3 linked regions of the Rattus norvegicus genome follow. The protein of the gene in region 3 interacts with the protein of the main gene of each other region in a biochemical or structural test. Links are inferred from orthologs where the notes say so. Each region holds a gene or a part of one and is shown on either strand. Other genes may lie near its edges.

Region 1 (5,087 bases), on a different chromosome or scaffold from region 3:
GTTCTTCAGTTGGATTGACCTTTTGGTAGAATCTGAGACCACAGAAAGGAAATCTCAATATCCAATCCTATTTGAACGCATGCTCGGAAACTGGTCTTTGCAAATAAATCTGTTGTTTTCTTGTCATGCCAATACATTAGGTAAGTCCTCTACCTTTTAGAGACTGACATGCAACGTGGAACTTCACTGAAGACAATGCTAGAAAACCATTGGGCTGGGCCTGAGAGCCCATGCCAAAGGACAGTTTAGCTCCCAGCACCAGCATCAGGCAGCTCACAATCTTTGTAATTCTACTTCCCACGTATCTGATGATCTCTTCTTGCCTCCATATGCACTTCCATACACGTGGTATACAGGTAGACACAAAAATCAATGGGCTTAAATATTTCCTCAATTATCCTCTGACCTAACGGTGAGTAAATGCTTAAAATTTTTTGCCTTGGTAACCTGACCACAAAAACAACCACCTTACTTTATACCTTCATCCTAAATAAAAAGTTTAATATTAAGAACCCTTAAATGCTCCATTCACAACTGATAGGAGTCCATTACAGAAAAGCACAATCAAAATGCAGAGCCCAGTCCCAATGGAGGTATTTGCAGCATAACTCCTTCACCTAAGGTCTGAGAGGCTCAGATAACTGCAGAAAATTACAAATGTTACCATGTGGAGAAATGGTACCTTTTGTGCAATTCTTGTGGAAATGGTAGATTTTAAGAACCAGAGGATCTAGGAGCCTGTTCTGAGATTGTGACTCCTAGTAATTAGAAGTTACATCCACCCAAAAAATCTTGACATGAATGCCTAAACTTGAGCTGAACAAAAATAGACACGCTATTGTGGACAAGGAAAGCCCAGGAAGTCACAATTCTACACAAGGACTGGCCCCAAAGACAGGCTGAGGGCAGGAGAAAGTCTTCCCCAAGGAAAAGCACACCAATTGGACAATTAGTACCAAATGGTCAGCCCTGTTAGCTTCCCTACAAGTAACACTACAGAGACTATGTATGCAACAATGAGGGAAGAAAAGGGACAGAGAAACTTTCGTAGTTTCATATTGAAAGAGTGCAAATGGGAGGAGGGTTTGGAGTGAGAAAGGGGGAAATGATTTAGTTTATTATACTCTCAAGAAATAAAAGAATTTTAAAATCTTTTAAATGCTAGTTATTATAATAGCTCATTACTCTGTGGCCTTTATGATCTCATTTGCTGTACTAATAACAGCTTATAAAAAGCACAGCAGTGAAACCCTGTCCACAATCCCAAGGAAACTTGACTCTGAGATCCAAAACTGCACACTCATCTTTTGAATTTAGAATCAAGATGTTTCATTCAATGTTTTTCAGTGGTTTCAAAATTTATGTGGATTCTATATATCAACATAATAAAAATATTAAAAGTAAAGCAAATACTTATTCCTAGAATAGACTTACCTAACTAACGGAGAAGGTTAAGAGTTTTTGCTTTTGACTGGAATGGGAATCCTTTTTTCTAGCTGACTCATGGCAGAATTCGAATGTCGTCTTTACGGCCCCTTTTTGCTCTAATGGACTCTTGAGTAAGCTATCAACTGAAGTGACTTACAGAAGAACCATTGCTTGACTTTTGTATTCACAGCCCTGAGACCATGGACAGTGCAGGTTCTGCATCCAAACTTTAAGGTGCCAAGGATCAGTTTCCTGTCCACTTTTTCTTGTCTTCTTGGCATGCATTTGTTTTCTACATATAAACATGTATCCCCCTTTGATTCTGTTTCCTAGTTGTTAAATAGGGGCTTGGTCTGGTCTGGTGGCACATGCCTTTAGGTCTACCACTCTGGAGGCAGGGGTGGGTGTCTCTTAAGACCAAGCCATGGGTACTTAGTGAGACCTTCTCCCACCCAACTGCACAAAATGTAAGAACTCAACTTCTCTCCACAAAAACATGGATGGAACTGGACACACACATCTACAAAGATACACAGCAATCCACAAGGCGGAATTACACACTCACTTGGATGGTATCACATGAACAAAAACCACCCAAGAAAATAACAATGTTAGTGAATGTGTAGAAATGGTACCTTTGTGCAATTCTTGTGGGAATGGTAACTTCTTCCAAAGCTTTCTCTTATTATTTGGCAACTACAGGGACTAAAAACATGCCCACAAAACAAAACTTGTTTACTCGAATTCACATTCGTCAAGATGGAGAAACACGTGTGTGCCAGCAGATGAGTACGAATTGTACCTGTACAATGGAATACTATTCAATCATAAAAAGGAATGCTCTTCTGATACCACGGATGAGCACGGAAGGCTCCAATCCAGCTGGACGGAGTACCTACAATGGATTTCTACTTGAGGAAATAAAAATATTCTGCGACTAGGTAACAGTGATGGGTGTACGACCGAAAAAGTTGAATTATACACCTTAATATGATTGAATAAGATGAACTTTATCTCAAAAGAAAAACGTGCCCCTATATTCATATCTCCAAGTCTAAAGTTTCTTCCTTTGGAGACAATAACAAACTACACCTCCGTGCGCACAACTGTTAAGCCACTCTCCACTCTCCCAGAGCACATGGTGCCCGAGTCTACTTACTTGTTGCAAGATACCCATGTTAATACTTTAACATTAACTTCCTAATTTTTATGTGTTTAAAGCCGATGTCTTGCTTTTCAAAGTGAGGGGGAAATTTCCGAAAAGCAAATCTTAACAGATAGCCAACGTGTCTGTGAACACAATATATCAATCACATTAAAACCGATATAGGCCAAAACCCGGCAATTCAATTACTCTTGTTATATAGCTGAGTAAAACTTAAGAATCCAAAAAGTCATCCACGTTCACTTTTTACAAACCTAAAACCATACGCCACGCAATTTCCCACAGCTAAATTACCAATAATTTCTTTTAAATGCTTTTATAAAGATTGGGGGTGTAACGCAATGGTAGAGCGCTTCCCCAGCATGTGTAAGGCCTGCAGCTCCTCCACTGGCGCTGCTCAATAAAAACTAAAACCGCAAGCACTGCCCAAGGCGTTCAGAAATAACACACCGAATGTATATGGAATGAATGTGGCACCGTGGCTAGTCGTGCAGGCAAAGGGATTCCTTCCAATTGCCCCGGGCCCGGAGCTCAGAGCTTTTGCAATGAGCTTTAATTTAAGGAAGGTTCCTGTTCCCTAGCCGGTAACCGGGAGCCAAGAAGAGCTCAAGCAATAGAGAGGGGACCTTCACCCGAGAGCCTACCACGATCCGCGCCAAAAACTGGGATCCAGACACACCCCCGACCTTCCTGCCGTGGCCCGGACGCTCGGGGTCCAGGCAGGTGGCAGCGCGGAGGCCGTGGGCCCGCGACTGGGGAAGAGCTGAGGATACCAGCCCCGGGAAAACAGCGGCCACCGGGCGGTGCGAGCCGGTGGGTCCAGGCCGACCCCTACCTCCTCCAAAGCGGAAGCCATGCTGTGGCGCGTCAGACCCGAGGCCGGAGCTGCAGCGGTGCACTGAAGTAGACAGGAAAAGCCGAACACGGCACCCACGAGCGTCGCAGCGTCGGCAGCGAGCTACACCGACCCGGCGGGACTCGGCGGCCCGCCCTCCGCACGAGACGGCTCTGGAACCTTCGCGAGGCTCCACCACCAGCCCGCGAGGCCCCGCCCAGCTCCGCCCCGCCGAGTCCTGGCCCGCCCCCAGGGAGGTCGCTTAGCAACGTTCAATTCTCGCGAGCGAACGTGTGCTCTAGAAGCGTCAAACCATCCTTCTTCCGCCCCAGTGACTGAGACGTCATTCCGCGCCGACATAGCCTGGCTGCGCAGTCGCAGCTCGCAATCGCGGCCTGATTTAGCTCCGGAACTAACCTTCAAAGGTTTGGGGACCCAATAGGAAGTGTCTAGAGAAGGACTGCTTCCGCGGGTAGGATGCTAAGCTAGCCAGGCTGCCATTTTGTCTTCGGTTCCTGTGAGGTGTTATGAGAGAACAAAAGAGCACTCCCAAAGAAACACAATTAAGATTAAAAAAAAAGGGGGGGGGGGAGGGGACAGATTTGTTAAGGGAGGAAGGCTCCTGAAGAGAACACTGGCTTTTAAGTGGGCATTGGGTCTCCGGAGACGTCCTGTGTCTAGCACCTTTGACGTGGCGCCCTCTCGTGGGACTGTAGGAAGGCTGCACGGGCTACCTGGCAGTCTCCTAGTCGCAGTTGTGGGAAGGCGGCACATTTTCAAGTGGCCGAAATCTTCATTCTCCCTTGCCTTTGAGAGCTCTTGATAGTGAAAGGATATTAAAAGAATAAGTTATAAAATTCACAGACTCAGAGCCAAAAACTATAAGAAACAAATCCAGGCATGACGGGGCCCGCCCTGCTGCTAGGACTGACAGACCATAAAGATAAAGAAAAGGAATGCAGGAACCAGCCCGAGTTATCAGGATTGACTCATGAACCATCTGGCAGGAGGACATCTCCCCCAGCTTACTCAGAGTTCTACTTTAACCAGATGTCCTCCAGACCCTGAGAAGCCCCTGACTTCTAGCAAGTACTCTTCTGCTGTGTTGTAATCTCACTGCTATGTTTGAATGAGCCAATTGTGTGTAACCGCGCCAAAACCCCCTAGCTTTCCCTATATAAACCCCTGACTTTTGAGTTTTGGGGTTGACTCCTCTGTCTCCTGCGTGAGACACGTGTTGGCCCGGAGCTCCGTTATTATTAAACGGCCTCTTGCTTTTACGTCAAGCCGGTCCCTCGTGTTTCCTGGGGTGCGCCATCCCGAGACTAGAGCGAGGGTCTTTCAATAGCAGACTTTTCCATTGCCTTCTCTTAACAAACAGTTCAGATATTGTTTATTTTCATCAGGGTTTGGATTAAGTGATCCCACATAAAATGTGGAGAAATTCTTCTAGTTGTAGGAGCCCGGATTAATAAACCCCAGTGTAAAACCGCTTTTCAAATTACTTTAACTCTGACAGCATGGAGACGTCTATAACATACAGGAAAACAAGACAGAAAACAAACAGTATCCGTTGGGTGGTCAAGCAATCTGCTATCAGCTTACAGATGCCTAGGGAAGCTATTAGAATCAGCAAGTCAAGGAAAATGCTGCTAAATT
Region 2 (5,286 bases), on a different chromosome or scaffold from region 3:
ATAGGTATAAAATCATTTTCCTTACTGTGCTCGTTTCAGGATGGAAAACAGCCAAGGTGAAGTCAAGATTAAAAAACTGAAGAAATTCTGCTACGAGACTAGCCACTAAACGACCTGTAAAAACCAAGGGAAAAGAAAAAGACATGATGAACAGAGCCCAAAGAACTCCCGATTTTCCTTGTGAACCGAAGCATTCTATGGGAAAAAATTAGGTTTTGAAGGTTTTAAAATCATATATTTCCCCTGTGACTAATTTGCTTAAGTATGAAAATCCCCATGTTTCTACTTTTGTATTTGGATCATCAATCTGCAGCTTTGAGGCCGTGTAGTGTTTGATAAACGGATTCTAGTGTTTTCTTGCTATTCTCCTACGTCTGCTTTAGCCAACAACTCCCCACTGTCCAGATGCTTACTAAGGCAGCTTGAAGCTAGGCATGGTGGTCTGCTCCTGGGTAAAGTCAGCATCAGGCAGGAAGATCCCTGAGGACTAGAGTCAACATGAGTCAGAGTGAGACTACTCTTCCCACAAATACTGACAAAATTGTAAAGCTCAGAGATAAACATTATCTTACCATCTTTTGTATTTAAAAACTTTTTCAAGCTCTCATTAACCAACGGAGTTTTGTTCTGTTGAAAATAAAAAGAAATATTTATGTTTATAAAGTGTTTACATGTGCTATATGTTTACCCTAAAATAACTAAAAAGTGTGCATTAAAGTTCTCTCGTTCCCACAGCCCAACTTTACTGTCAGTAGGTGAAAAAAAGAAGAGCGGAGAGCATGCCCTGCAGAATGGAGAGCAGGCGGAGCTAAGTATCAACAGTCACGTTTATTTTGGCAAAGATATAAAGAATACATACATTTGGGGTTGGGGATTTAGCTCAGTGGTAGAGCGCTTGACTAGCAAGTGCAAGGCCCTGGGTTCGGTCCCCAGCTCCGAAAAAAAAGAAAAGAAAAAAAAATACATACATTTATATTCACAAAATCATGGTTTTATGATCCATCTCACAACTATTTATTTAGCATAGGACTTACTTTGTGCTATTTAGTAACTTTTCAAGTTAAGGAAACCAATCTGTATATGAAGACATTTATTTCAACCTTTAAAACACTTTTTTACACTGCAGGAGATTAGACTCAAGACCTTTTACATGATGGGCAGGCACCCTACAATTGTCTACCACAAGCCCTTCAACATGTTATAATTACACTGCTTTTGTAATGGTTTATTTAAAAACATGTGTGTCATTAGATTTACTTTTAACTGTTTATATTTCAAGTACATACAATTTGAAATTTATAATCTTAGATAGCTACCATTTGCAATTCCAAACTAATCAGTAGTGTATGAGATGACTTTGTATGGCCATAGCTCTGAACAAATGTAGTAAACTATCCTTCTTGCAAATAGAAATGTGGTAACTGTTGACAGTGAGGATAACATAGGTAACACATGATGGGGTCCTTAATCAGCCTCACATCTTGTGAATGGAAATACTAAATGCATGGGCACTGTGGAAAACAGTTGGAAGGTTTGTTCATTTTTAGGTTAACATTATCTCCAGCAGGTGAGCCAGTCCTTCCACCCTCAAGCATTTTCTCAAGATCAGTATCAGGTCCCAGCAAAGATTTGGACATGACCATTCACAGCAGCATTATCCTCAAGGGAAAAGCAGGGACAACTCAATGTGGTATCAAAGGGAGGGTGGCTAGGCAAATGAAGACTATCCGCTCAGTGACTAGAGCAACGATCACCATTCTTGAAATGAGGACTACGTGGAAGAATAGGATACACTGCAGCATTCTGCTGACTATCAGACCTAAGTGCATTTTACACGTTCCCATTTGCATAGCTCTGAAAATAACTGAGATGCTGCGGAAGGAAACTCAAAGGGTTGGGCCTGTATTTTCTTTCTTGTGTTCCTCACATTCCGTAAATAGCTTATCAAATCTGACTTTAAGGTGTGCATTTCCACAAACAATTATACCTCAAGTTAAAGAGGGAGAAAAATCACAGAAGTACATAGTGTGAAGAATCTAGGACACCGAGTTAACTGAACTAGTCAAGGAGAACAGAAGAACAGAATCAGGCATGTACTACAAATGGCCAACCCAGGACGGATGAAGACCTGAGACATATGATGAGGGCACCAATGACAGGTGGAGAGTAGCAAGTGTCGCTCTGGAAAAGCTGTAACTAAGCCAAGAGGGGCAGGCAGACACTGCCAGGAGACGATGGAGTATGGGTGAAGCAGGTCTGGAAAACTCGGGGACATCAGTCTGTTACTCAGTCTAATGAACAGGTCTGAAGCTGGGAAAGGGAACTATGTAGTACAGACACTAGACAAAGTTACCACAGGGAAGCTGCAGAATAAGTACGTGGACTGTGGTACGCAGGAACAAGATCCTGTTAAAGAAACCAAGGAGTATGCAAAGGAAAACACATAGAGAAAGCTTCCCGAGGTCAAAACATTTCCAAAAATGAGAGAGGGGTTACTGTCAGATGGTGTAGCGGCTAGGTGAGCTGGAGGATCAAATGATCATTACAGTTTGACTAGAAAGCAAAGAAATATGGGATTCCAAGGTGTGGACAATGGAACCTAGCCTAGATTCCAAGGTGTAGACAATAGAACCTAGCCTAGATTCCAAGGCGTGGACAATGGAACCTAGCCTAGTCAAAAATTAGCAGTAAGGATGAGAAGGAGGAAGTTAAGAGCGGGTAGGTATACAGGTCATAGAAGGATGGAGGAGATCTGTCGCACAGGAAGACTTTGATTATCCTGTGATTCTTACTGACAGGGAGTTCCAGGACACACTCAGGATGGTTGCTGGGAGCTGGGGTAGGCAGAAAAGCCAAGTTACAAAACATTCAGGGATTACTAGGGTTTTTTTGGTGTGTGGTGGTGGGGGAGGGGGGGACGGGGACACAAGAACAGAGATATTTTTAAGGTAATGGTCAGATTTTTATCCAACCAATCAGAATTTGGGAAAAGGTTCCACAGTACAACCCTTAATACTTTCAGAGTGTAGTAACTTTTAACCATTCAGAACCATCCCCGTAACGTTAGTCACTGAACTATTTCAGAATGGCTTTTCATTTATTAGAAACCAGGCGTTAAGAGGTACGGCGTTAAGGTCTGGGGCTCTTACCTCTACTTTTTCTTGTTCTTCTAGTGCTAAAAACACAGCCGCTCTGAGTTCAGCCTTCAAAAAAAAAAAGCCCACAAGTTATAAGTCAGTTTTGCGACCTGAAAGTACAGGGACAGGCACGAGGGAGTGTGCAGCGAGAGAGGGAAGGCCACGGGCCTGTGTGCTCCACACCCGGCCCACGAGCTCGGGCCCAGGCGCCATGGCCGCGTGACTGCCCCGCGCCCGCGTCCCGCGCCCTTCCTCCCTGGTAGCCGCTCCGCCGCACCTTGATACGATTCAGCACGCCGCTGTTCTCCAGCGTCTGCACCAGCAGGTCGCGCAGCTCCGTGTCCTCCTCAGCCACCACCGCGGCGGTAGTAGCCGCCATCTTGCTTCTCCAAGACAACCACCCAAGCTGCGCTAACGGCCAACAGCCGCTGCGGAAGCCGCCCGGCGCGCGAGCGCGCAGTCGCAGCCCCGCCCCTCACGCGGAGAAGACCAACGGGGCGGAGCCTCCAGGCAGCAGAGTCTGCAGGTTCCATGACGTGAAGGGCGGGGCCTCCGTGTACGGTCTGTAGGCGGGGCCACGAGCATGGGACCGGGTCAGGCTCTGGTGACACGCTCTGTGGCATATTATAATTATATTAGAAATGTCACTAGGTTGCACTTAATTCCCCCGTTCCTGTGTGAGAGAGAAGAGTCCACTCCGGCTGAACGTACCGGTCCCTCTAACTGAAGTGGTGGTGGCAGTGGAGAGCCTCTAGGAGGGAAGGAGAAGCGAGCTGCGGGGCAGGGCGGAGACTTCAAGTGGGCGGGGTAAGATGTGGGGCGGGGCCTTCCTAGGGGCTGTTTCTAAGCGGGAGCAACGTGTAGGCGGTCTGTTCTTGCCTCTGTGTGTGCGTATACACATTCAACTTAAGTCGGTTTTGCGGGGCGGCGGTAGTTGGACCGCGGGGGTGGGGAGGGAGTAGGAAAGTCTGCTGTCTGGTACCATGCTCTTGTTCTTTTGAAAAAACAATCAACCAGGAGGGTAAATTCCAGGCTGCCGCATACATGGGAAGCTTCAACCGTGTGGGCTTGGAACTTCACAAAGATTCCGGTACCAGTCTGTAAAAGGGTTTAGAACTCATGCAGGTGGCCTGTGCAGTATGAATGCAGATGCACATAAGAATAAAGTTAAACGCTTTCTGTGCTGCTTTTCAGTTTATGAAAGAAATTAGAAGAGTGGTTTTTTTGTTTGTTTTCCTATATCTTTCAAGAAAGGAATCATTGAGAGGTTAATTTCTTTTTTTTTTTTTTTTTTTTTTTTTTTGGTTCTTTTTTTTGGAGCTGGGGACCGAACCCAGGGCCTTGCGCTTCCTAGGCAAGCGCTCTACCACTGAGCTAAATCCCCAACCCCGAGAGGTTAATTTCTAAAACTGGCCTTAAGGAGAACAGTTAAGGGGTTAGAAGGGTCACACGGAACACAGAGAAGGTGCAAAGTATTTCCCATGCTGGCAGTCTAATTACAATTTGGGCACAGGAAAAAATGGGTTTAATAGATCTGGACAAACTAAGGCGTCCTTGGAGTGTGCAAACTTCAAGCTAGGGACAGATGAAGGGGAGAGTGCTCCAGTAAAGGAATAAACTTGTCTGTGCTTGGCTTGGTCCATGTGCAGTGAAAGCAGCATTGGTATGATTGGCAGAAGGAAGCTGCATTGGGGTGGGGGAGCTGGTCCAATGCAGACCTTGACATATTACTTTGGAGAATGAGGGCTTGAGGCATTAGCTGATCTGTAGATTTGGGCATTCAGAAAGGTTTGAAATGCTTTTAATCAATACTTTAAAACTGAGTGGCTATCCAGTTCTAGACCCCAAATTAAGAGGCTTGAACATGGTCAAAACTAATTCCCACAGCCAGGCAGCCAGCAGTCTGGGAACTCAGACAACAATCTTTACAGCAGTCTGAAGCCTTGGAGTGAGCCCTTGTGGGAGGACAGGGAAAAGTGCAGCTAGAGGGCCTGGAGGGAGACTAGAGATGCTTAAGACTCTGAGACTATAACCTCTACTTTGATCGCAGTGAAGATGAGATCTCCACAGACTAGTAAGGGTTGGATGAGGTCATAATCAGTGTCCCAGGTCAGTGTCCCAAACCCTCCCAACACTATAACTCACAAAA
Region 3 (4,270 bases):
CAGGATCTGAATATTTGCATTTTCTTGTTTTGCCCTAAGGCTCTGTCTTTAACTTCCTAGTAGAGCCAGGGTGCAGGGACCAAACTGGGAGGACAACTGCTGCCACAACAGGTCTTGGGGACAGGGAGCATGCTGGCTTCTCAGCTCCAGTATACTGATCTTACAGAGAGTAGTGATGTCTGGATCCTTTCCCAGCTTGGCCTTACAATGCAGGCAGGTTACGTCTAGGACTTGGACGGTGCTCAGGACCACATGGCAAGACCTCAAGCTGTTTTTTAGTAGGTAATGGTATGAATTATAGATTATTGTTTCTTTGGATGGGAAGATGTCCCAGGAGCAAAGGCTAGACAAGCCTTCCTACTGTAATTCACTTGGAATCAGCACGCAGGTCATTGACCCCATTTGGTGTCAGGTCTTTGGTGAAGGTGTGGGTTGTAGCTGAGCTTCTGAGCAATCTCCTCCCCTTGGACCCTTGCAGAAGATGAAGGAGAGCAGCATTGATAACTTGATGAAGAGCCTGGACAAAAACAGCGACCAGGAGATTGACTTCAAGGAGTACTCTGTGTTCCTGACCACGCTGTGCATGGCCTACAATGACTTCTTCTTAGAGGACAACAAGTGACCAGCTACCCTCACCAGCAGCCCCTTGTCCTGACCTCTGCAGCCTCTTTAACTGCTCCTCCTAGGCCCCCTGCCCTTCTCTTTCTTCCAGATGGATTCTTCCAGCAGAGAAATAAAGCCTTATCCACAGCATGTGCTGGTTTTTAAGGTGGTTTGTCTCTCTTGGCTGAGGCAGGGGAGAACAGAGGATTTGGACCACTCAGCCTTAGGCCACACACACGTGGTCTGTGGGTACAGGAGCTGGGCTCTCGTTTTACTCCACTTGCTGTCCTTCATCGTGGACATTGTTGGAAGTGTCCTGGCTTTGCTCTGCACTCCTGTAAAATAACAAAGCTGCCCAGACAGCAAAGACGAAGAGCAAACAACAGAAAAGAGCGAGGAGGCCAGAGGGATGGGCTGTGGCTGTGGCGCAGTGATGGTCCGGCAGGTCTGACTTGGGGATAGCCCTCAGGAGACCTCCCTAGGAGCCCTAGTAAGGAAGGGAGTCTTAGCCCTTCTCTCCACCCTTCCCATTGCTCACTGAAGACTGATTTCAGGATGCTAATTCCTCCCCATGCCCCACCAACTTCCTCTTCTTAAGACTTTTTTTTTTTCCAGGAGAAAATGTTGAAAACTTTTTACTTGAGATGAGTAAGTAACTAACGATGCTTCCTGGGCTTGGCTCCACTGTGTGCACATTAAGGCATAAGCTGCTCTGAGGATGAAATTCCAGGCAGTGAGTGGGAGGAGGCAAGTGATGTTGTTAGAAATTTATGGTTGGTGGGGGATGCTGTTTAAAATCTTTTAGACTGTGTTCCCCTTCTGTCTCCCTTTTGAGACATGGGTCTTATATAGGTTGGCTCAAAATTCTACCTCTTGGGATCAGCCTATCTCATCAAGATTTAGCCCAGTGGTGCTCAACCTGTGGAGACCCCTTTCACAGGAATTGCCTGAGACCATCTGAAAACACAGTATTTATGTCACGATTCATAACAGTAGCAAAAATATAGTTATGAAGCAGCAACGAAAATCACTTTATGGTTGGAGCGTCACCACAACATGAAGAATGTATTAATCCGCAGTATTAGAGAGGTCGAGAACCACTATCTTAGAGGATGCGGTAGACTGACTGCTTCCCCTCTCGCTTGGAGTTGACCTTGCCACTAGAGGGCAACAGCATCAGTATTGTTCCCAGTCCCCCTCACACTGATTCGAACTTTAAGGACACTGATCTCTGGCTGGTAGAGGGTTCAGCACACATACCAGAGTTACGAGTCACGTGCCAGAAGGGCAAACTGAACACGGAATTAGAGGGAACTCGATGTCTCCGGCTTGCACTGGTCTTCTCTTGCACTAGAATCCTTCATCCTGCTCCCAGTCCGGGACGTCCAGGCAACAAGGGCGTGGAAAGTGAGGGGGCTGGGAGGTGTGTTTGCCTTGCCTCAGGCGCTGGGTGGGGTTGGGGCGTGCCAGCACTCCCTGGGCGGGCCTCACCGATGCTGGCCACTATAAGGCCAGCCAGACTGCGACACAGTCCATCCCCTCGACCACTCTTTTGGCGCTTCATTGTCGACGTGTGGTGAGCTCTCACTGGGGCGTCCCTCTAAGATCTGTCCACTCCTGGTCTAGGGGTTAAGCCTTTCCTGCCCTAGTCAGCCTCTGCGGGCTCCATGGGTGGAATGCACTGGGATCCAAGTTTTCGGAGCCCAGGGAAGCAGGGAGAGCCATGGTCTGCTGGGCTGTACCAGACAAACCCCGAGGCTAAGGCATCCCCATGGGCGGCAACCTGAATCTGCTTTTCTGGGGTGCAGGAGGGTTTGCCCTGGGTGTGTCATCCTCGTCCCAGTGTGTGGCCCTGTCAGGAGGTTTCCAGGGGCAGCCTCCATTCTCTTCCTTGCTCAGTCATATGCTCCAGTTCTCTTGGAAGCCCTGGAGGACAGTGTTCACAGACCCCAAAGCCCCTTCCATTCTTAGACTCCTCACCTCAGTGGCCCTGGCTGCTACCTGTGTTGGCTTGAGGCTAGCTGCTTCAGGCAGGTAGTCTCCTGGCTCAGGGGATGGTGAGAGGACTCTCTGCTACCAGTAGCACTGAATAGCCCCTCTGTCAAACAGCTTCTAGCCCAGTGGTCAGTCATGGCATGCCCCCTGGATCAGGCCATCGGCCTTCTCGTGGCTATCTTCCACAAGTACTCTGGCAAGGAGGGTGACAAGCACACCCTGAGCAAGAAGGAGCTGAAGGAGCTGATCCAGAAGGAGCTCACCATTGGTGCTGTGAGTAGCCCCTGTCCGGGTTCCCCCTCCCACCTCTTGTCTGAGTAGCATTTAATCACAGTTCCTGATCTTACTTCCTGTGGAGGGATGCCTGTATGCTCCCATGCTGTCCTGTCCCCTGAGGGAGGAGCAGGGGCTGAGGAGAGTAAATCTAGGTAAACCCAATCTGAAGGTCCATCTTTGGTCACAATGAGCAGAGCTACTTGTGTGAGACAGGGCTTCCAGGGAAGGGGAAAGGAATCTAGGGTGTTGGCCACCACTGAGTATGGACTTCTCCTTTTAATGTATTAGAAGCTGCAGGATGCTGAAATTGCAAGGCTGATGGATGATCTGGACCGTAACAAGGATCAGGAAGTAAACTTCCAGGAGTATGTTGCCTTCCTGGGGGCCTTGGCTTTGATCTACAATGAAGCTCTGAAATAAAATGGGAAGGCAGAGATGCCTTCTGGGAGGCTATCCCAGTCAAGTCCAGTGGGGGGGTAATTATACAATAAATATTTCGTTTTTGTTATGTCTACCCATGTGTCCTGGCTTCTCACTGATTTCTAGTTGCTTCCTGGCTTGCTGCTGAACCCACCGTCTAGTGGTCCTAGTCACAGTTAATCTCTGCGAGTTGTAGTTGAGTGACCCACCCAGACAAGGAATCTTTATGGGTATTAGAAGAGGTACCCCCTCTAGGCAAAGTCACTTTAAACAAAGGCTTAATCAGGTGATCTCCAGGAGAAAGGGGCCCCTAGAAGCAGGGCTGCAATAGTCCCAGCAGTCCCCCAGAAGACACACTTTGGTCTGGGTGTGGTGAAATGGGGTGGGGGTTGGGAGGAGTAGATGGGCCCTGATATTGGGCAATCCAACTTCTCTCTGTGTGTTTGTGCGTTATATGAGGGAGGGATGGGGAGAGGTACATCTGAGGTGACCAGGGACACAGGACGACTGAGTTTTCTGTAGCTGCCTCTGTTCCAGTTGGAGGTAGAGGAGGCTTTAGGAGACTGTCCTTAGTATCACGTATGTACGGGGTCTTTTTTGTTAGGTGGTAACTCAAGGAGCTGGCAGCTCCATGAACACGGGACTCATGAGTGCTCACAAACAGGGCAGGGGTGGGGTCCTTAGACATGCCAAATGTGGCTTTAGGCCTTTCTGTCAATATTGACCCAGCCTATCCCTGCAGAATGACTCATAAGACTACTTCCCCGGAACCCAGTTGAGTCCTCAGTCCCTATCAGAGTAGATGGCCAACTGAGTTACTGTCTACTGTGTGCATTAGCAGTTAAATCTAGGTGTGGAGAAAGCTGTCATGATGTGTCTGAGTGTCATGGAGACAGCATTTGCTGCTATTCCTTCCAGGAAAGCCTAACTCAAGTTGGGCAACACCCTGGCCAAGACCAAAGGTGGAAAGAGCTGG

Evidence for each region.
Region 1: the proteins of S100a6 (region 3) and Cacybp are reported together in a solved structure, tested with the Homo sapiens proteins (2 studies listed by BioGRID and IntAct, with this or other methods). The link is inferred for Rattus norvegicus from reciprocal best matches to the Homo sapiens genes S100A6 and CACYBP.
Region 2: the proteins of S100a6 (region 3) and Cep43 form a complex in vitro, tested with the Homo sapiens proteins (2 studies listed by BioGRID and IntAct, with this or other methods). The link is inferred for Rattus norvegicus from reciprocal best matches to the Homo sapiens genes S100A6 and CEP43.

Annotation. Positions count from the first base shown.
Region 1 is NC_086031.1:74,977,640-74,982,726, forward strand, and holds the start of Cacybp (calcyclin-binding protein), read right to left. Parts: upstream 3,601-5,087; 5' UTR 3,450-3,600; coding exon 3,429-3,449; exon of another isoform or gene 3,238-3,428; intron 1-3,237. UniProt on the Homo sapiens protein: May be involved in calcium-dependent ubiquitination and subsequent proteasomal degradation of target proteins. Probably serves as a molecular bridge in ubiquitin E3 complexes. Participates in the ubiquitin-mediated degradation of beta-catenin (CTNNB1).
Region 2 is NC_086019.1:55,107,910-55,113,195, forward strand, and holds the start of Cep43 (centrosomal protein 43), read right to left. Parts: upstream 3,601-5,286; 5' UTR 3,517-3,600; coding exon 3,415-3,516; exon of another isoform or gene 3,204-3,414; coding exon 3,150-3,203; intron 2,840-3,149; exon of another isoform or gene 2,239-2,839; intron 628-2,238; coding exon 573-627; intron 115-572; coding exon 26-114; intron 1-25. UniProt on the Homo sapiens protein: Required for anchoring microtubules to the centrosomes. Required for ciliation.
Region 3 is NC_086020.1:178,396,376-178,400,645, forward strand, and holds S100a6 (protein S100-A6), read left to right. Parts: upstream 1-2,161; 5' UTR 2,162-2,179; intron 2,180-2,712; 5' UTR 2,713-2,733; coding exon 2,734-2,871; intron 2,872-3,162; coding exon 3,163-3,294; 3' UTR 3,295-3,387; downstream 3,388-4,270. Other genes in the region: S100a5 (protein S100-A5), read left to right, coding at 479-622. UniProt on the Homo sapiens protein: May function as calcium sensor and modulator, contributing to cellular calcium signaling.